Arabidopsis thaliana: one gene and its partners. The protein of the gene in region 1 interacts with the protein of each later gene in a pairwise test. Each region holds a gene or a part of one and is shown in the gene's direction. Other genes may lie near its edges. The genes, in order: VOZ1, AT4G26410, AT2G32020 and AT3G58630.

Region 1 (5,602 bases):
TTTCTTCTACCATTAAAGTATGGGCTCGACGTTAAGCATCATCTAGTTGAGCCACTCTTATCCCTAGCTTATTTTGAATTTGAGTTGGATGTTTTGTCACATATGATATAGAAATCTATTATGGTGACATTGAATTCACCTTGGAGACCTTAAAGAAAAGAAAAAGAAGGAAAAAAACTTCTCCACTGTCACTAATTTGGTCCGGATCAAAGATAAAGTGTAGTGGTGGACCGATCTATATTCCAACCAGGGATATATAAGATGTAAGGTGCATACTCAAAGAAAATATTGTCAATAATTGGCTGTTTAACTGTGATTAATATATAATCGTACTCAGTCAAGAATTGGTTGTTTAAAATTAGTGGAGATATTATTTCTTATAACCTAGTTAAAAGTTGAATTTGAATATTTTTTTAGAGTTCATACGACGAACATTATGTATTTGAAATGAGAATAATAAGCAATAATAGATAAAGAACGATAGAATATGACCATTGAAGAAATTGAAAGTAGATGGTATGATGAAAATTGATGAGCATCACAAGATAGGAATATGGAAAACATAGTGGAGAAAAGCTAAGTTATATTCCTTCCTTGCCAATATCTCCTTCTTTTACACCTTCTTGTATCTTAAAAGAAAATAATAATAACTTAGTATTCACGACACTTGTCCAAATTCTTTACCCAAGATTCCTTTGTTATGCTTGTTTGTTTTTTCCTCCAAAAGTAATGCAAATTTACATTAGGTACAAACAATCTCATTGTTAAAACTCATTGAAAGGATATAAGAAAACAAATGGGTCCAAATTATTTTAAGAAATGACCAATTGTCAAGCGCAACCAAAATTACGGTTATCAATCTAATTGACTTATCTTGAAAATATAATACGTTACATTTCCAATATTCCTTTTTTATTATCAAATTACGTTACATGTAGTCGTAGACTTGAGCACTAATTAGCCGTTGAATCAAAATCTTTAACGTGGTTCTACTACGATGCTATCATAAAGTCTATGTCAATTTATCAACAAAATATACATTCTCGAAAGAAATGTTATCATGAATCGTTTTTTAGTTTTTTTTTCCTACGACTACAAGTACAGCTACGCAAAGTTGCAAACCACTCCCCTCCATACACATTAACTTGGACTAAACCCGATGATCATACAATGTCACAAATTTTAGCGTTACTACATTAGTCTTAACATTTTCTAATATTTGCAAATGTTCCATCCCTAAAATGGATGGTAGTTTTAATTTCAAAGCCTTTTTTTACACTTTTTTGTTTGGTATTTGTTTTAATTTTCTCGTATGTATAAAATTTGCTTAGCTTTAGCCTATCTTGAATTCTATCATCGCATATTCGCATGGTTATATTATATCTTACAAATCGTGTGACCCAAACTCTGATTTTGGAAAAATTCTTGGCGACTTCCCTAATGTATTACATAGTCTAAAGAAAAACTTAAATTTCTAACTCAAATAGTATTTAAATTTCCTCAAATAAGGAGCAAGTAGTGTATGGAGCCAATAGCATTGAAGAAAATGCCTAATTTTCTAAAGCATATGTGCAACAAAAAAAAAAAAAAAACATAATTGAACTCTGGTTAGTTTAGAAAACAAAACAAAAAAAAAAGATTATTTACACAACAAATAGTAAATTTTAAATGCTCATTTAATATTTCTTAATATAAATAAATGCTATAAAGAGAAAAAATGAACAATAAAAAGAAAAGAATCCATAATAAACAGTCCAAATGGCATTTTTTTCCAAAATAATCATTAAATTCCTTAAACATTTCCCCACAATTTGATAATTTTTAAATTTTTATATTTTCTCATAAATTAGTACATTGAATTTAGCTCATAAAAAAGGAAAAAGAAAAGTGGAGGGTGAAGAGAAGAAGAGAATCCAGCAACGTTTCTTTATTTCCTTTGTGTTTTTTTTTCTTCATAATCTCTCTCTTTTTATTTATTCATAATTTTTACTCTCTCCATTTCTTCATTACTCTTCTTTTTATTTTCCGGAGATTTTTCTCTTTGCCTTTGTTATTTGCTGCTTTTGCTGCAGCTACAGTGTAAGTTTGATTTTCTGGGTTCCTTCAAACTCCAAAATCTCGCGTCGCTTTTTGCTTCAGAATCGATTTGTTCTTGTTACTTCGATCTGTTGTTCTTTTTAACTCTGTGCATGATTCAATTTCGTGTTCGTAACCTGTTTTTTGCTGCTTGTTTAGTTCGACAATTAGGTAAAAAAATGACGATCCCTAAAACTTATGATCCTTTTAATCTTCGTTTAGCTACTTCGTTCGAGATCATCTAGGGCTTTTGTTGCTTCATCGATTTTGGGTTTTGATTTACTGTAAATGTTTTGGTTTTGTTTATGTAATCTAAGCATGTACCAATGATTCATGAGTGATCATGTTTGTTATAGGAGCAGAACTGATGTGAAGTGTGTATTTTGAATGTGTTTTTGGTTTTGTACAGAGAATCTTGTGTTTTTGTGGTGGGGAGGTGAGATTTCTTATGACGGGGAAGCGATCAAAGACTAATTGCAGATCTGCTTCTCACAAGCTCTTCAAGGATAAGGCTAAGAACCGTGTTGATGATTTGCAAGGCATGCTTTTGGATCTTCAGTTTGCGAGGAAAGAGAGTAGGCCTACTGATGTTACTCTTCTTGAGGAGCAAGTGAATCAGATGCTTCGTGAGTGGAAATCTGAGCTCAATGAGCCTTCTCCAGCTTCATCCTTGCAACAAGTATGCTTTCGTTTGTTTCAAATTTGCAATCTTGTTGTTTCTTCTGACTTGCATGGGTGATTTAGTTTTCTTTGTTGTTTCAGTCATTGTTAGCTGTGTCATTTTGTTTTGCTTAAGCAGGGTGGTACTCTGGGGTCTTTCTCATCAGATATTTGTCGGCTGCTGCAGCTCTGTGATGAGGAAGATGATGCTACCAGCAAATTAGCTGCCCCCAAGCCCGAGCCTGCTGATCAGAATCTCGAAGCTGGCAAAGCTGCTGTCTTCCAAAGGGTGAGTTGCTCTTTAGAACCAGTTTTTAATGGTGCTTTAGTTGTGTTTGGAGTCCATTATTTTGTTTAAATACTGAGATCGTGGTGAAAGTTTTCAGGGATACAATTTGGTTCAGGGGAAGTCAGAACATGGATTACCATTGGTTGATAATTGCAAAGATTTGTCCTTAGCAGCTGGTAACAATTTCGATGGAACGGCTCCTTTGGAGTATCATCAGCAGTATGATCTGCAACAAGAGTTTGAACCAAACTTCAATGGTGGTTTCAACAATTGTCCCAGTTATGGTGTAGTAGAGGGTCCTATACATATCTCTAATTTTATCCCGACTATTTGTCCTCCACCCTCTGCATTCTTGGGTCCAAAATGTGCTCTTTGGGATTGCCCTAGGCCAGCTCAGGGATTTGATTGGTTCCAGGATTACTGCAGCAGCTTCCACGCTGCACTGGCTTTCAATGAAGGGCCACCAGGTATGAATCCGGTGGTGCGTCCTGGAGGTATCGGCCTAAAAGACGGTCTGCTTTTTGCTGCTCTTAGTGCAAAGGCTGGAGGGAAAGATGTTGGTATTCCCGAATGTGAAGGAGCTGCAACTGCTAAATCTCCATGGAATGCTCCAGGTAGGCTTTACTCTCTTGGAATTCATTCACAAGTATGTTAATTGATCACCATTCTTGAGCTGATCATACTCAAATCTTGATGACTGTAGAGCTCTTTGATCTCACGGTTCTGGAGAGTGAGACACTAAGGGAGTGGCTATTCTTTGACAAGCCAAGGAGGGCCTTTGAGAGCGGGAACAGAAAGCAAAGATCTTTACCAGACTACAATGGTCGTGGTTGGCACGAGTCACGTAAACAGATCATGGTCGAGTTTGGAGGGCTGAAGAGATCTTACTACATGGATCCACAGCCTCTGCACCATTTCGAATGGCATCTTTACGAATATGAGATCAACAAGTGTGATGCTTGTGCCTTGTACAGGCTCGAGCTCAAGCTTGTTGACGGGAAGAAGACTTCAAAAGGCAAAGTCTCAAACGACTCAGTGGCTGATCTGCAGAAGCAGATGGGAAGACTCACAGCTGAGTTCCCTCCAGAAAACAATACCACTAACACCACCAACAACAACAAACGCTGCATCAAAGGAAGACCAAAAGTGAGCACAAAAGTCGCCACCGGGAATGTTCAGAACACAGTAGAGCAGGCAAATGACTATGGAGTAGGTGAAGAGTTTAACTATCTGGTCGGAAATCTAAGCGACTATTATATCCCCTGAGACGAATGTGGAAAAACTCAGGTTTAAAAAGCTGTTTGCTTACCATTTAATTAGGCAGCAGCAGAAGAAGCTTCTACATATCGTAGGGCAAAGTAATGGATTTTCATGACTCGTATCTTTTTTTTCTCTTATATAATAGTTCTCTGTCTATCTATGGAGATTATGTATATATAACAAGAAGTGGATGCTGAAGACTGTCCTGGAGTTAGGAATAGTAAATGTGACGAAGGAGACTGCTTTTTAAGATTCAGTCTATGGAGGTGAAGACATATTTACTGACATTCCGGTTTATATATTTTGATGCATTTTCGACTCTCTTCTGCGATATAATGCAGATGACAAATTATGTAACCGATGGGGAAATACGGTTTTGAGTATCAGTGTTGTTCTTATAGAATCAGGACCTTGTTCAATGAGATCATTGCTCTTACTTAGTCTATGTTTCAGATTTGGGGTTTTGTTAATAAAAATTCTCTGCAGAGCTTCAAAATCTTAAGCATCGTTTCAAGAATCATGTAATCACGTTCTCACTCTTCTTAAGATATTTGCATATCATAGACGCCAAGTGTTACAAGCAATCAATCAAATCATATTCTACATATATTGTACTAAAATTCATCTAAAGAGAGACAGGAACTTCGCTATGCTTATTGTGGCAATAATGGTCTGACCAATGCAAAAGGACGATCTGAATTCACAGACATTAATAATTCCAACACAACTACTTTTTTGGGAGGGTGACTCTTAAGACCAGGCTCAATCAGCCCTGCAAAGCAAAGAATGACACAACACATAATCAGATAAACTTAAAAGGATACGAATAGCATTGAATTTAAGGAATTGAAAGAAGAACCATGGTGTGTTACCAGGCTTGAGTTTTTTTCCTCCATAAAGTTCTCTAGCTAAAGGATTAGCAGCCCAGTGATTCACAGCCACCCGGCTTGTCGGTTGGAACCCTATGATTTTACCTTCGGATGATAAAACTACCTGCTTCCATTAAAGAACCAGACGAAGATGAAGTAGTAGTCCACTTAAAAGAATTCAATTCATCATAATTCACTGGAATTACCTGGTAAGTAGCGATATCTTGCGCAGATGCCTTTGCGTCTTCATTGAGTATTTCCAGAAGAGACGAGCTTGTAACAATGTGATCTTCAACAGACTTAGCTCTGCTGGTTTCTTTCAAGTAGTCAGGTACTTCCCCTATCCAGGCACCTATGCTGCTTTCTAGTGTGATCTCCCCTACCCAGCTGTAGGCATCCTTGAGCTTGTTGACGAGTAATCCGCAGAATGAATCCAACTGCTCATTTG
Region 2 (5,364 bases), on another chromosome or scaffold:
TTCCGTACAGGTAACGCTATTGTTATCAAGATCTTGACCGTCAAGTGATCCCATTTGCGTTTGAGTTTTGCCGGTGTTTCTTAGCGTTTTGGATGTTTATTCATCATGGTGACTAATCTTGAGATGAAACTCAAAGTCTCTTTTGTTTCTTTTTTTGTGTGTGGCTCCCACACACTACATAATGTTCTTGGATCATACTCTGGTTACAAGTACATTAGTTTGGTACGAGTGCAATTGCATAAACAAAGACTATTTTTTGAATATATTTTACAAAAATGTGTGATCACATTTGGCTCGTGATCACACAACTTTGGGATTCGTATTTGGAGATAATGCGATTCATGCAGTCAACAACCATACTCACAGTCACATGCCTCTCCCTCTCAACATAAATACCTGTGTTCATCTTTTTATATTTTACTAAATTAAAAGGGATACTTTTAACGGAAACCCAAATGATCATCAGATATTATAATACAAATAAAGAAAAGATTCCATTCCTCGAAAGTGTTTATTTGTTATGCAGTATTCAACAATCTGAGTGAACAAGATTTTATGTACTATAAGCTGAGGAATAGCAGTTTACGAGTTCTCACCGAGATGAGATGACCCCGAGGCCGATGCGGATGACGAAGAGGATGAAGAGAATAATCCGCTGAACGGCCATGGAAAAGAGAACCTTCTCTCGCTCACATTACTGTTCCTTGCATCATCTTCCACATTCTCATTACTTACGTTGATCTCTAGAGTTCTTGTTCTCGGTCTTACAGGATTAACCTTGGTCTCATCATCAGGAGGGAGTTCATATCGGCACACGGGACATGAACTGTGAAGCTCGAGCCACGGTACTATACACCGGATGTGAAACTTGTGCTTACACGGCATCTCTTTAGCTTCACTTCCTTTGTCAAAATCATCCAAACAAATCGAGCACTGCAATGATTCACTTATCTTAACCGTTGGGAGATTATCCACAACTTCTTTACGTGCTGGAAGACTCCCGTGCCTGATTGAATCATTATCAGCTAGATGTTCAAGCAAATGGTCTAAACTGGATCCAACAAAGTAATCTCCAATTGCAGAAAGAGAAGTATTGTTCCGGTTTTGATTCAAACTCGTTGAACCCTGAACAACAGCTGATTGATTTAACAGGTCTCGATCCGAGCTCTCATACTCAGAAGCAATCCCTGCACGAATACCCTGAAGCAACTGCAATATAGTAGCTGAGCTTCTCCGTCTCCTCCTAAGGATAGACTCAAACTCTCTGTCTAAATCAATCTCTCTACCTTGTTGCCTGTGGCGATGACGACGATGATGATGTCGATCAATATCGACGCTGTCATTTCCATCAACATCATCAGATACATTGACCTCATCATTATCCACACCAAACTCTGTCCTCCTAAACCTTCTACGTCTACGAGGATTACTCATCATTCCAAGCAAGATTGGACCCCATAGAGACAATGCACGGTCTGTACCAAAATCAATCTCAGGGTCTTGAACCTCCCTTAGACTGCTACTGCTGCCGCCATTAATCTCACGGCTCATTTCCTCGACAAACCCGCTTTGGCAAAAGGGGCATTTGATCTCGGCACCAATAACTGGATTCACCATTTGTGAACACATGTGACACCAATACCTAGCTGACATTGCCTCTTCCTCCTTCTTTCCTTCCCCACCCAAACCTCTCGTTTCTGAAACAACCAGAAGAACAACAAAAAAAAAAACATGAAGAAGCAAACCTATAAAGTTTCGACCTTTGTTTCATCAGATCTAAATAAAGAGAATGGTATTCCCAAAAGTTTCACTAAAAAGAGGATAATATCATCTTCACCAACATCATTAGCTCAAGTTTCAGACAACAAAACGCAAGCTTTCTATGCAAATGCGAATAAACAGATCAACCAAAATTTGCCTCTATAAAGAGATAACAATAGAAATCAGGGCTAATCCATGAAAAGAAAACTCTCAATTCTCATGGAGTAATTAAAACAAAACAAATACAAAAACAAACCTTGTAAATGTTCTTACTTTTGGAGATCCAGAGGGAAGAAATGTCTTCCTCCTTCTTTTAGATCTCCACGAAGATAAATGAGAGCTTTTTTATTTGTCTTCTTCTGCAGAAATGGTGGGAGACGAAGAAAAGAGGAATGAAGGAGGAAAGGAAGACGAAGATGAAGACGAAGAAAAGGGAATGTAATGTATAGTTCGCAGACCCAATCTTAAAGCCCATTAACCGCAAACTGATATATAAAGGAGCCGGGTCTATCTTAACCATTTAAAACCAACTTCTAATTTGGAATCAAATTGAACCGAATCGAACCGGTTGAAGTTGAAAGAAGGAGAAAAGGCGTTGTCTCCGTGCGAGAAAGGCAAATCGGAGACGATGAGCGAAACCGAAGCAACCGGCGTTACCGATGATTCGGCTCCAGCGATTGAGACTGAAACTGTTTCTGATGCGATGGAGCATACAGCGATCGGAGTGGTTGAATCGGTGGAAGGAGCCATAGAAGGAGCAGAGAAATGGGTGGGTGATTTGCAACGGACGGTGAAGGAATCGAAGGATACCGCAATGCGTTCTGCTCGTTCCCTCCGTGAAAATTCTACCTCTCAGTTCCGCTCTATACAGGTTAGTTAATCTCTCTTTTGTTCACCAAACAATTTTTGCGAATCGAGATTGTTTACCAAAAAACATTTTCAGGATTTCAAACCATGGATATGGTGGAATTTAGTATCTCGTAAGCTATAATTTCTAGAAATGAGCTCGATTCAGAACAGATATTTCTCCAATTAGCAGTTTTATGTATTGAATGGTGCTAGTTTTTGTTCATATGGGTAAAATCTTGTTGAATCATACCATTATAACTTATTGGCAATGATCTTAGTCTCTTCCTGGGTTCTGATTCTGCTTCAAATGGTTGTTTAGAAGACTGTAATGTATCGCTGAGGCATTCTTGATTATTCTCTAAACAATGTTTTTATATGATATCAGATATTCATGTAGCTTAATGATGTGTGATATGGAGTAGACCCTATCTGGCTGAAATCACAGTTCCATTAGATGTATGTATATGTCTTCGTCTTCTCTCATACAATCTTACATTTGATTCTGAAATTGCAGGATTTCATTCCACATGCTTTGACTCAGTATAAGACCTATGAGAATGCTTTCTTCAGTAAAGTTACAGGTATCTTGCAGCCAATTTTCGTGAAAAAGTTATACTGGTAGACTACTGTAATGCTTAGGAACGAGTATTTTAGATCAAACTGAGATATAACAGATAGCTGCCACAAAACTTTTATATATACTTGTAGTGCATCTTATAGTGTTCTGAAACTAGAATCTTCATGTCATTCCGATTAATCAATCCTCGTATCCTCTGCTGCTTTTGTTATCCTCGCAGACGAATTGATATACGCAAAAGAGCATCCGGCTGCTGCTATTGGGATTGGTGTCGCTGCTAGTCTCGTTCTGATGCGAGGTATAACCTCTACTCTCTTATCACTTTTACAACTTACAAGATTCCTTCCCGTAGGAGCATCCAAATGGTATTACATCTGTTTTACTTATATGTGTCTTGTATGAATTTGGTTTTCTATTGTTCGACTTACAGGCCCAAGAAGATTCTTGTTTCGTAATACACTAGGCCGATTTCAGAGCGAAGAGGTATATACTATACCAGCTTCAAATTTATTTCTTAACGTTGTTATGCTTAGTTGCCCTGGTCTGTGTCCCTTCCCTTATTTTTACATCCACTTCAAAATCATCGTCGCTTCAGGCACAATTCTTGAAAGCTGAGAAGCATGTTCAGGAGTTAAACATGTCTGTAGACTTGATGAAAAAGGAGAGCAGGAAATTGCTTGAGAGGACGGCTTTAGCAGAGAAGGATATGAAACGTGGTCTCTCTGAGCTCATGTATGCCCCAACATGGACGCTCCCACTTCTTTTATTAAGTTATTGACATCATTTATGTTAATATGGGTACTACTGTTATATCTATAGGAACTCTGGAAACGATATACATCGTCTTGCTAAGTCCGTCCACAAAGCTGAATGTGAAGCTGCTGGTAATCTTGAACAAGATTTATTTTTACTCACTTCTCCCTTCTCCCTTCAAATGGTATCTTTGATAATGCCACTACGTCAGATTTCAACTTACACAAAGAGTTCTATTCGCTGCAGATTTGATGGACGGACTTCGGCAAATTCCTGGAAGGGATGCTATCAAGCTTAGAGCTGAAGTGAGTCTGACTTTTTTCTTCTCGCCCATTGTTTGAGCTTCATTGCTATGAACGTCTCATTAAATTCTTTTGTCGTAAATCATTAGGTGGCTTCCATGACTTCGCTTTTGAGACAGAAGAGGATTGCATTGAACAAAAGGATCATGGGTATGTCGGACCTAGGAGTTTCCGTCTGATATATCCAACACAAATCCACAATTTCTTGGGTTTTCGCAACCAAAGTTTGTTAGGTATTTTCCAATTGAATCGCAGTGTACTCTCGTCCATCGAACATCCAACTCTGTCTGAAACCAAAATCTGAGCTTGAGACAGAACTTGTATACTGTGTTTTTGCCTGCTTCCTAAGATTTCTCGCTCAGAGAGAATTAATTGAGTCACAAAAATGTGTGTGCTTGGTTTGGAAATCCTTAATTATGTAGTCTAGAAGATTTATGAGAAACATAGAAAGTTACTGAATCAATCAGTAATGAAAATTTATAGATAACATGAAGGTTTTTAATGGGCTAGTTTTGCATCGTAAGTCTATGGGAGACGGGCTGTGGGCCATCCACCCATGCGACTAGGCGACCCAACTGCTCCGATTGGTCTAGTAATGTTAAACCCTCCAGACGAGCAAGAAGCTTCAGTCGTCGGACCGGTCCGACCATTAACGTCCAGAGTCCGTTCTCTCCTCCTTAGACGCTCCCTCTTGAGCAGAGTCCCTAACTTATCTTTTCCCGATTTTCCCTTGTCCGGAACAGGTATCATCTCCAGACCCATCAGCTTTGCAACAACCCCCGTCTTGCACCATACCACACTCTCTCCGGCCACTGTCCGTGGCAGGCGTTTTGTCTCCAAGCTCATCTGGCTCGATCTCTTTGATGTCCGTTGATCCCCGCAGTGGGATCTCCGCCCACCCTGTATCGTCATGTCAGCACTGGTGCCAAGATGGCGCCGGAAGGATGACCGGTACATAGCGTCCTTACCGTCCAGTGAGAAACGTGGGTACTGATTCAACGCGTTCCTTGCTGACCTTAACGGCAGACAAACAGAAGTTGATATTAGTATTGATCATAGTATCATACACAATAAAATTATTTCTGTTTCTTCCGGTAATTCCTTAAATATCACTACAGATTT
Region 3 (3,779 bases), on another chromosome or scaffold:
TAGTTCAATAATACTAGATTTCATTAAAGTTTTTCAAATCCATAATCGAACAACATAGAATTTATAAATTTTACACAAATCACTTAAAATATTAGATTGAATACATTCTTATAAAAATCAAATCCATAAATTATTTTTAATAACAGTGAATTTAAAGGTAGATTTTTAAATTATTATTTTAATAACACTAGATTTCATTAGAATTTTCAAAATCCATAATTAAATAACATATACTTGTAAAATTTACGAAAGTCACTTTAAATACTAGATTGAATATACCTCTTTTAAATCAAAAACGATGAATGGATGGTAAATATACGGTTCACCCATACCCATTATAAACCGTCTTTTTCACACCTTCCATTCAACAAGAACTAATTGTTGCGTATTTGACCGATCGAAGCAAGAAGGAACGTTCTGTTTATTTTCTTTTTTGTTAAAAAAAAATCAGTATTTAAATCGTGATTTGTAGAAGAAGTATTATCATAATGCCTCTACACAAATCTGTAAGAATTGAGAGAGATAATTTATTTTAAAGAATCCCAAAGAAGCTTCAAAGACTCAAAAAGGAAAGTAACCAAGAAAAAGTCAATGGAGATGGACTCAACTACTACGATCAAACCGGAGACCCTATCCACCGTGAGTTCCTCACCTCCGGAGAAAATCCATCTCCGGCCAATGACTCTTTCCGACGTCGACGATTTCATGGTTTGGGCCACTGACTCAAACGTCACACGCTTTTGCACGTGGGAGCCTTACACTAGCCGAGAAGCCGCGATCGCGTACTTAAACGACGCTCTTTTGCCACACCCTTGGCTTAGAGCTATATGCTTAGATAACGACCGTCCGATTGGCTCGATCTCCGTAACGCCAGTCGATGAGATCAGAGGAGAGATTGGTTATGTCCTCGGAAGCAAGTATTGGGGGAAAGGGATCGCCACTGAAGCGGTGAGGCTTGTGGCGGGGGAGATATTCAAGGAGAAGCCAGAGATGCAGAGGCTTGAGGCACTTGTTGACGTTGACAATGTTGGATCTCAAAAGGTTCTTGAAAAAGTTGGGTTTGTGAAAGAAGGTGTGATGAGGAAATTTATGTATCTTAAAGGAAATGTTAGAGATATGGTCATGTTTAGTTTCTTGCCTTCTGATTCGTTGCACTGATCTGATTTGAATTAACAAATATCAAATATATATATTAAGTTTGTTTGATGTCGAAATTTATATTTTGCTTAGTTTGTAAAAATCACATGTATAATTTGATGTGATGCTCTATCTTTCTTCTTCTTATGTAATTGTTAGTTGTAACCTTATATATTAACTATTTCATACAAAAGTTATTTTTTATAATTTGAGAGTAATGTATTTACTATTTACCATGTTCACTTCACCAAATAAAACAAAGCTTCACTATCTCAGAAAAAATGTAAGTTTATATTGAAAATTAAAAGTACAAAATGAAACATGATATATATATATATATTTTCTTTTTGAATCTAAACATGAAATATTTTATACAATAAAAAGATAGTGTGATAGCTAGTTTTACAGCGATAGATGAATGGAATTCTGATAACATTCGATTAATTAATCTTTAGCTAAATTACTTAATCATACAACATGTTGAGTGACTTGATTCTTGAGTTGATTTTGACAGTATATAACAAACGATTACGATCATTTGCACCACAAATATTAACAGTATTAAAATATTTAATCCATTTAGAATAACTTGAGAAACAGTTAAATCCTTTTTGGGAATCAGACCACACACGATTTGACACGTGGCATTGTGGGCATCCAACTGGAAGCAACACATTAAGTTCCGAAACCAGAACAATACTTTGTTTGGCAACCAAGTAAGTGTCGAAAGTCCAAGGTCAAATATAGACAATTATCCACTCACACGATGACACCTCATCTTATGTCGTATATTTAACACTAAATACACTTATCTATAGCAAATGGTAATATTTAGTGTTTTTTTAGTCAAAAGCAATAAGGGAGAATCTCAAAGTTTTTCAAGATCGCGATGTGTATAAAGACATCGCTTAGACGTAGTGATATGATATCTAAAACAATCACTAATCCTAAATGGAGATGGACTCAGAAGAAACTAATCCAATAATGAGCTCTTCGCCTCCGGGAAGAATATCTCTCCGGCCGATGACTCTTTCCGACGTCGATGACTACATGGTTTGGGCCACAGATCCTAAAGTGGCTCGATTTTGCACTTGGGAGCCTTGCACGAGCCGAGACGAAGCTATCAAATACATAACCGATCGTGTCCTGACACACCCTTGGCTCCGAGCCATCTGCTTAGAAGACGACCGTCCAATCGGCTACATCTTGATCATGGCGGTTGATAACATCAGAAAAGAGATTGGTTATGTCCTAGCGAGAAAGTATTGGGGAAAAGGGTTTGCCACGGAAGCAGTGAGGCTAGTGACCGCGGAGGTATTCGAGGAATTTCCAGAGATTGAAAGGCTTGAGGCACTTGTTGATGTGGACAATGTTGGATCTCAAAGGGTTCTTGAAAAAGTTGGGTTTACTAGAGAAGGTGTGATGAGGAAGTTTATATGTATCAAGGGAAGTGTAAGAGACACTGTTATGTTTAGTTTCTTGTCTACTGATACTTTGAAGTAATTAATCAACAAAAAGATTAATTAGCAATTCTACATATATATGTTGGATTTAGTGTATGATTCATATACGTAATACATGATGTAAACACTCTGTTTTTCATTTGCCAAAAAAATCTATAAATCCTACATTGTAAATTACGAAACAATTAAAGTCAGTGCATGAGACAGAAGTGAGGTTAGAGGGATCATCCGATTACAAATTGATAGGTAGAGAAGAGTTTTAAAAATCAAAGGTTAATAGAAGCGTATAAACGAATAATGTAGAATGTAAATAAAACAATGGGATTCGTCCTGTATCCATAAAAAGGTTCACATACTCATCCAACAAGCAAAAGAAAAAAAAAGCAAAACATCCCATGGTCCTTGGGATGAGAACTTAAGAGCCAGACCAGCTTTGTTAAAATAACACAGGATATTAAAAGTATTTGTAAAATTTGAATTATGAATTTATGTAATTCAACAAATTTACTATAAGTAGTACGTAATTAATTTATTATGATTTCTCCATATTTCTTAAATTAAAGTAAACAATCTTTAGATTCCCCTGAGTTTCTTCTTCTTGTTGGAAAAATGAAGTTTACTCGTGCGTAATTCGTTAAGAGAGAAGCCCATGTGGCCCAAATTTAGGGCCCGTGTAGTGGAGGTTTCGTTATAAAGAATCTAGTGAGAAGTGAAGTGAGCAATTTCTTTTCTTTTTTTTTTGTTATGAAGAAAATAATCTGGAAATAAGAAATTACAAGAAAAAATGGATTTTTTTGGGTAAAAAAAAGAAGAAGAAATCAATCATCACTGTGCTTGTGTGAGGCTAATTTCGTTTCCCACTTTCAAAGGACTAAATATATTACTAATACAATTTATTTTAACTTCTGTGGTAGAACTAAAATATATTTGGCCTATAGATACACATGCATATCAAAAAAAGTTATTTTTAGGTTATGTGAATAAAGACTCCACTCCGTTCAATATGTCTGACCAGTCAGTCCATATAGGATATACGCATATAGTATGAAACAATTTATTAGTATTTGAAATCACTATGTAAGTATGTGATATTTTCTGTTAACCAACAAAAAAATTAGATTCATTTACTAACTAGCTCACTAAACATATGTTTTTAGGAATTAAAAATAATCTTAGCTC
Region 4 (5,198 bases), on another chromosome or scaffold:
TGGCGGAGGAAGCTAAAGATGCTGCGGGACATTTGCAGGTAATTTCATCTTCCATACAAAACCGTGTATCCTTCTTTCCAACATAGTATGTAGTATTAATATGGAAAATTTTGGTTTGAGGAGAAGGCAATAACACTTCCAAATAGGACCTGGAATTGTGTCTCGATGAGAAAGTTTCGTAATCATCTTTAATTAACAAACAGCGTTTAAACTTGTAAAATGTTGCTAGGGGATTGATGTGTATACACCGGATGGGGATAGTACACCGTGATATAAAGAGTGCAAACTGTCTTTTGAGCAACAAATGGACAGTCAAGATCTGTGATTTTGGGCTGTCGAGAATAATGACAGGGACAACAATGAGAGACACAGTCTCTGCAGGAACTCCAGAGTGGATGGCTCCTGAACTTATCCGCAATGAGCCCTTCTCAGAAAAGTGTGATATCTTCAGTTTAGGTGTAATAATGTGGGAGCTATGCACTTTAACCAGACCTTGGGAAGGAGTACCGCCTGAACGGGTAACTTAACTGAACAAGAAGAAGACTCTTTAGTGACATATGTGTATATATAACAAGTTTCCTCATATTTCTTCTCAGGTTGTTTATGCTATTGCTTACGAGGGAGCTCGGCTTGAGATTCCTGAAGGACCACTGGGAAAGCTTATTGCAGGTCTTGTGACTTGTCAAAGTGTTGTTATTTCGTTTTTCCTGAAGCTTTGTTTGGGGTTTATGGAGTATCCTTTTCTGATGTGTTGTCTCTTGTTCGCAGATTGTTGGACAGAACCGGAACAAAGACCGAGTTGCAATGAGATACTCTCTCGTTTGCTGGATTGTGAGTATTCGCTTTGCTAACTTTCTCTCAATCATATTTTCCTTCTGTGAATATAAAACTTTGCAGCGAGAGAGGTTTTTGTTTTCTTCGTTTCTTTTTTTTGAATATTGTTGGCTTTCTCCTTTGAGTTTGTACAAAAGAACTTTGGCGCTTTCACATCCACAAAAAGCTTTGTGGAACTCTTTTCCGTTTAATCATTTGCAAATTCGTAAATTTCAAAACCTCTGAAACAAAAAAGTAAGTCTTATAAATTTTACAAAAGGTGAGAAGAGTTGCTCATTCTTTCAGTTTAAATGATCAAGCTTGCTACTCTTTTTCGTACCATAAGGTTTGTTCCCTGCTTTGCATTTGCTATAAGAAAATTACGGACAAATACATGTACTTTTCGTTTATATTTCGTGCCTTAAGAAATGAAAAGGAGCTTTGATTGACAAAGAAAAAAGAGCAAACTACAGTTTTTGCAGAACTTCTAGTTATTTAAAGAAAAAACGATTTTATGTTCGTAGCCGTAATTTGTCATTACCTATTTGACAACAACATACATTCTAGTACCGAGTTTAAATTCGGTGATATAACAACGATACTAGTAGTTCGCGTTACCCATTTAGCTTATCACCTAAACACACAAAACTTAGAATAACTTATTCTAATATAGCAATGTGTCATTAACTTACAAAAATAGATCGTTTGATCATATTCTACTTGGCAGTACTATCATTACATTTTACGGAAACTAAACCAAACATCTAACGAGCCATATCCGATTTTTTAATTAGCTTTGATTTTTCTCTACAATCTACAGTTTCAGAAATTTCACCATGCTATAAATTTGTCAATTACATACTATTTAGGATGTGATACCAATTCATTTGGAACCGTTATCATATTCTAATTAAGTTAGACAACAAAAAAAAAGGAAAATATCAACCAAAACTTACATATTATATTACCAACGATTCACCCAAAAAAAAAATATATTACCAACGATTCATAATGAAATTTAATTAGAACTACCACACATAATATTACTAATTAACTTTAGACTTATCAAATTGCATATTAAAATGAATATTTAAAGCTTTTGTAAGAAAAAAAAATATAGAGAAATATTATCTTGTTCGGTAGTCAACATTAACAAAATAAAATAAAAATTAAAACGTTTTAGCTGTTAAAAAATAAAAACCAAATTAACGATGTATATAAATTAGCTAGAGCTGGCTCGTTTAGTCTGGCTCACGGTTTAGTACATGCACACAAAGCAAAAACGCTGGTTTGTCTTTTTAAAAAAAAAGAACTTCGTTTCTCTTCAATTCCGTTACCGTCACTGTCACCGTTCACCTCCGTTTATCTCATCCTCACCGTTCATCTTCTTCGATCTAACTCGCCGTCGTTCACCTTATAATGGACACCGTCAACGATTCCTTTTCGCCGGGATCTTCCCGACCTTCGCCGGCGACGCTTTCTCGTGAAGATTGCTGGAGCGAGGAAGCGACCTTCACGCTCATCCAAGCCTGGGGTAATCGCTACGTCGACCTCAGCCGAGGTAATCTCCGTCAGAAACACTGGCAAGAGGTGGCTAACGCCGTTAACGACCGTCACTACAACACCGGTCGAAACGTTTCCGCCGCCAAATCGCAGCCGTATCGCACCGACGTTCAGTGTAAAAACCGGATCGATACTCTGAAGAAGAAGTACAAAGTCGAGAAGGCTAGGGTTTCGGAATCCAATCCCGGTGCCTACATCAGCCCTTGGCCTTTCTTCTCCGCTCTCGATGACCTTCTCCGGGAAAGCTTTCCGACGTCTAGTAATCCTGATTCAACTGATAACATCCCGCACCAGAGGCTATCACTTCCGATGTCCATTAATCCAGTTCCGGTCGCTCCACGATCGGCGATCCCCAGACGTCCGGCGACATCGCCGGCGATTATACCTCACGCCGGTGACGATTTACTCGGATTTCGCGGGAATCTCAACGCATTCGCGGCAGCCGCAGCGGCGGCGGCGTGTCCGGCGTCTGAAGATGACTCGGAAGGTTCAAGGTCTAGATCGAGCGGTCGTAGCGGGAGTAACAAGAAGCGGGAGAGGAAAATTGAGAAGAAGCAAGGCTACAAGGAAGTTGCCGACGCAATTGAGAGGCTTGGACAGATATACGAGAGAGTCGAGGAGAAGAAGAGGAAGGAAATGGTTGAATTGGAGAAGCAGAGAATGAGATTCGCTAAGGAATTGGAATGCCATAGGATGCAACTGTTCACGGAGATGCAGGTACGTCTTCATAAGCTCCGGCGTACCTCTGGCTCCAAAGGACCGACTTCCTCCGCCTCCGCCGGTGAGACCTGAATCCTTTCTCTCGCCGTATTTCGTAATCTGTTCAGAATTCTATGTCTTTCTCCATTGTTTAGCTGTGTAACAGTGACTATAGCATAAGAGTAGAAACAAATTTTACCTTTTTACTTGTGATAGTCTCTGTGCCAACGACGGCTATAATAAACCCAATCAAAGTACAAGAACAAATTGATATCGCACAGAGATGATGAATCTGAACAAAAATAAACTAATTAGTAGCAAGTATTGGTATTCATGGTAAGGAGGAGGTCCTGGTTACATTTTTCTCCTAGATGTTGTTGCTTTGTTACTTGTGTTTCTTGTAATTATAGTCTGAGTGTGGAAAGTTTTTCTACAATGACTGATGTGAGCATTAGTTGGGAAGCAGTTCATGAGCTAGAAACTTGAATCTGCTTCTGTTTGTTGTTAAGCATGAGTGCTTTGTGAAGTGTTTTGAGTGTGATGCCCAGTAAGTTTTGAGTGTAGAGTAGCCTTTTTGTTGGTTAGTTGATTGAGAAGATTGTGAGTTTACATGCTAACTGCTTCGAAAGTTAGGAAATAATGGGTATGGATGTTTGAAAAGAGAATGCATGATATGTGGAAGGATTTTTCGGATGCATCAACCATTAGTTTCTGACATATAGTCTCAGGAGACAAAATTTGATTTTTTTTTGGATGCATCAAATCTTTCCTGCAACTTGGCTATGGCATTACACGACAGACATTTGTTTCTTTCGTTTTCGCTTGGTCCATATTTCTTTACTTGTTAGTCACCTGCTAATTTGATGAATTCCTCTTTGCATTACATGTTTGACCACTAGAACAAATTATCAGCAGCAGGTCTATGTATGAATAATAAGTGAACTTTTTCTGTTTATGCAGCTCTTGATTATGGGATGATGGATTTCCCTAGTTACTTCTAGAGGTACGACTCCTTTATTTATATTTAAAACTCCCTAGTCGATCAAAACTTTGCCTATGTACAAAATGTGTAGACTTGTTGGGCTAAGTCGTTGGTTTTGTTTGCAGCATCATGAGTTTGTGATTGTAGCCATTTTGATGAAGATGAGAGAAAGTCAGCGTTCTTCCACCAACCAATAGAAGATATGGTAACAAAGAAACATGAGTTTCTCTTTGTTTTGTAAATTTTAACCCTTTTAGAAGATTCCGATTCCAACCCAGGATTGAAAAAAAAATTGGTGACGTTATATTGGTATATCTACACAATGAAACAGTACAAGAAACAGTTTTCAGCAAAATTATATTGGTTAGTATTGTTTGGTATTTCTTAGTTTGTGTTCTAATTTATGATTTAATGAGGTGGAAAATAAAAAAAAAATCTTCAGGGATATACCGCTATATCCTAGTAATTCATTATTTATCTATTACAAATCTCAAGTTCTCAACTCCATAACATGTTAAGTTTAAGAGACTTTAATATGAAATGTTAAGAACTTGAGATTCATAACCTTTGCCCAAAATGTGAGGCAAATCATTTTTGCTCTCATTGAGACTTTGTCATAGTTTGTGTTCTGTATTGGCGCCTCAAATTCCTTCTATGAAACTATAGTTTATTTGTCAATGGATATTTTATTGAAAGCAGTGTTATTACAAGTAACCCAGCCCACCAGGACCCATTTGTAATAAGTAAGAGTTTCTAAAACAAACAAAAATAAGAAAACCAAATGAACCATTAAATTGGGGCCTTTTTGCATGAACGATAATTGAGAAACATGCATTTTCCTCGGATTAATACAATCGGAGCAGGTTTCAATATGATAATACAGTAAAGCAAAACAAAAGAATGAAAATTTCAATTAACAAAATGGCTCTTTGAATCAATTTACGTTCGTGAAGACTAAAGATTTGAAAGAATGAGAAGAGAGATATGTTATAAGAGGAAATGCGTAACAGAGTCCTCTAGTAACTGATGACTAGGACATACCATTTCCTTCACTTTCTCTCCCTTCTTATAAATCTTAAACGTTGGAATTTTCTTGATGCTCTCTGCTTTCGCCAATGCCAAGCTCTCCTCTACGTCCACC

The links.
Region 2: the proteins of VOZ1 (region 1) and AT4G26410 interact in a two-hybrid assay, tested with the Arabidopsis thaliana proteins (one large-scale study listed by BioGRID).
Region 3: the proteins of VOZ1 (region 1) and AT2G32020 interact in a two-hybrid assay, tested with the Arabidopsis thaliana proteins (one large-scale study listed by BioGRID).
Region 4: the proteins of VOZ1 (region 1) and AT3G58630 interact in a two-hybrid assay, tested with the Arabidopsis thaliana proteins (one large-scale study listed by BioGRID).

What each region holds. Positions count from the first base shown.
Region 1 is NC_003070.9:10,027,189-10,032,790, forward strand, and holds VOZ1 (vascular plant one zinc finger protein), read left to right. Parts: upstream 1-1,894; 5' UTR 1,895-2,079; exon of another isoform or gene 2,080-2,485; 5' UTR 2,486-2,524; coding exon 2,525-2,755; intron 2,756-2,875; coding exon 2,876-3,025; intron 3,026-3,122; coding exon 3,123-3,639; intron 3,640-3,728; coding exon 3,729-4,291; 3' UTR 4,292-4,802; downstream 4,803-5,602. Other genes in the region: AT1G28530 (deneddylase), read right to left, coding at 4,939-5,057, 5,158-5,278, 5,361-5,591. UniProt on the Arabidopsis thaliana protein: Transcriptional activator acting positively in the phytochrome B signaling pathway. Functions redundantly with VOZ2 to promote flowering downstream of phytochrome B (phyB). Down-regulates 'FLOWERING LOCUS C' (FLC) and up-regulates 'FLOWERING LOCUS T' (FT).
Region 2 is NC_003075.7:13,344,371-13,349,734, forward strand, and holds AT4G26410 (chromosome-associated kinesin), read left to right. Parts: upstream 1-2,283; 5' UTR 2,284-2,389; coding exon 2,390-2,632; intron 2,633-3,124; coding exon 3,125-3,191; intron 3,192-3,407; coding exon 3,408-3,485; intron 3,486-3,617; coding exon 3,618-3,670; intron 3,671-3,782; coding exon 3,783-3,919; intron 3,920-4,006; coding exon 4,007-4,071; intron 4,072-4,186; coding exon 4,187-4,245; intron 4,246-4,331; coding exon 4,332-4,421; 3' UTR 4,422-4,767; downstream 4,768-5,364. Other genes in the region: AT4G26390 (Pyruvate kinase family protein), read left to right, coding at 1-48; AT4G26400 (RING/U-box superfamily protein), read right to left, coding at 583-1,653; AT4G26415 (uncharacterized protein), read right to left, coding at 4,768-5,257.
Region 3 is NC_003071.7:13,630,054-13,633,832, reverse strand, and holds AT2G32020 (Acyl-CoA N-acyltransferases (NAT) superfamily protein), read left to right. Parts: upstream 1-1,903; 5' UTR 1,904-2,088; coding exon 2,089-2,640; 3' UTR 2,641-2,853; downstream 2,854-3,779. Other genes in the region: AT2G32030 (Acyl-CoA N-acyltransferases (NAT) superfamily protein), read left to right, coding at 592-1,158.
Region 4 is NC_003074.8:21,682,806-21,688,003, reverse strand, and holds AT3G58630 (sequence-specific DNA binding transcription factor), read left to right. Parts: upstream 1-1,964; 5' UTR 1,965-2,232; coding exon 2,233-3,157; coding exon of another isoform or gene 3,158-3,168; exon of another isoform or gene 3,169-4,035; coding exon 4,036-4,076; 3' UTR 4,077-4,078; intron 4,079-4,182; 3' UTR 4,183-4,474; downstream 4,475-5,198. Other genes in the region: AT3G58640 (Mitogen activated protein kinase kinase kinase-like protein), read left to right, coding at 1-38, 230-518, 597-669, 769-851; TTL4 (tetratricopetide-repeat thioredoxin-like 4), read right to left, coding at 5,045-5,197.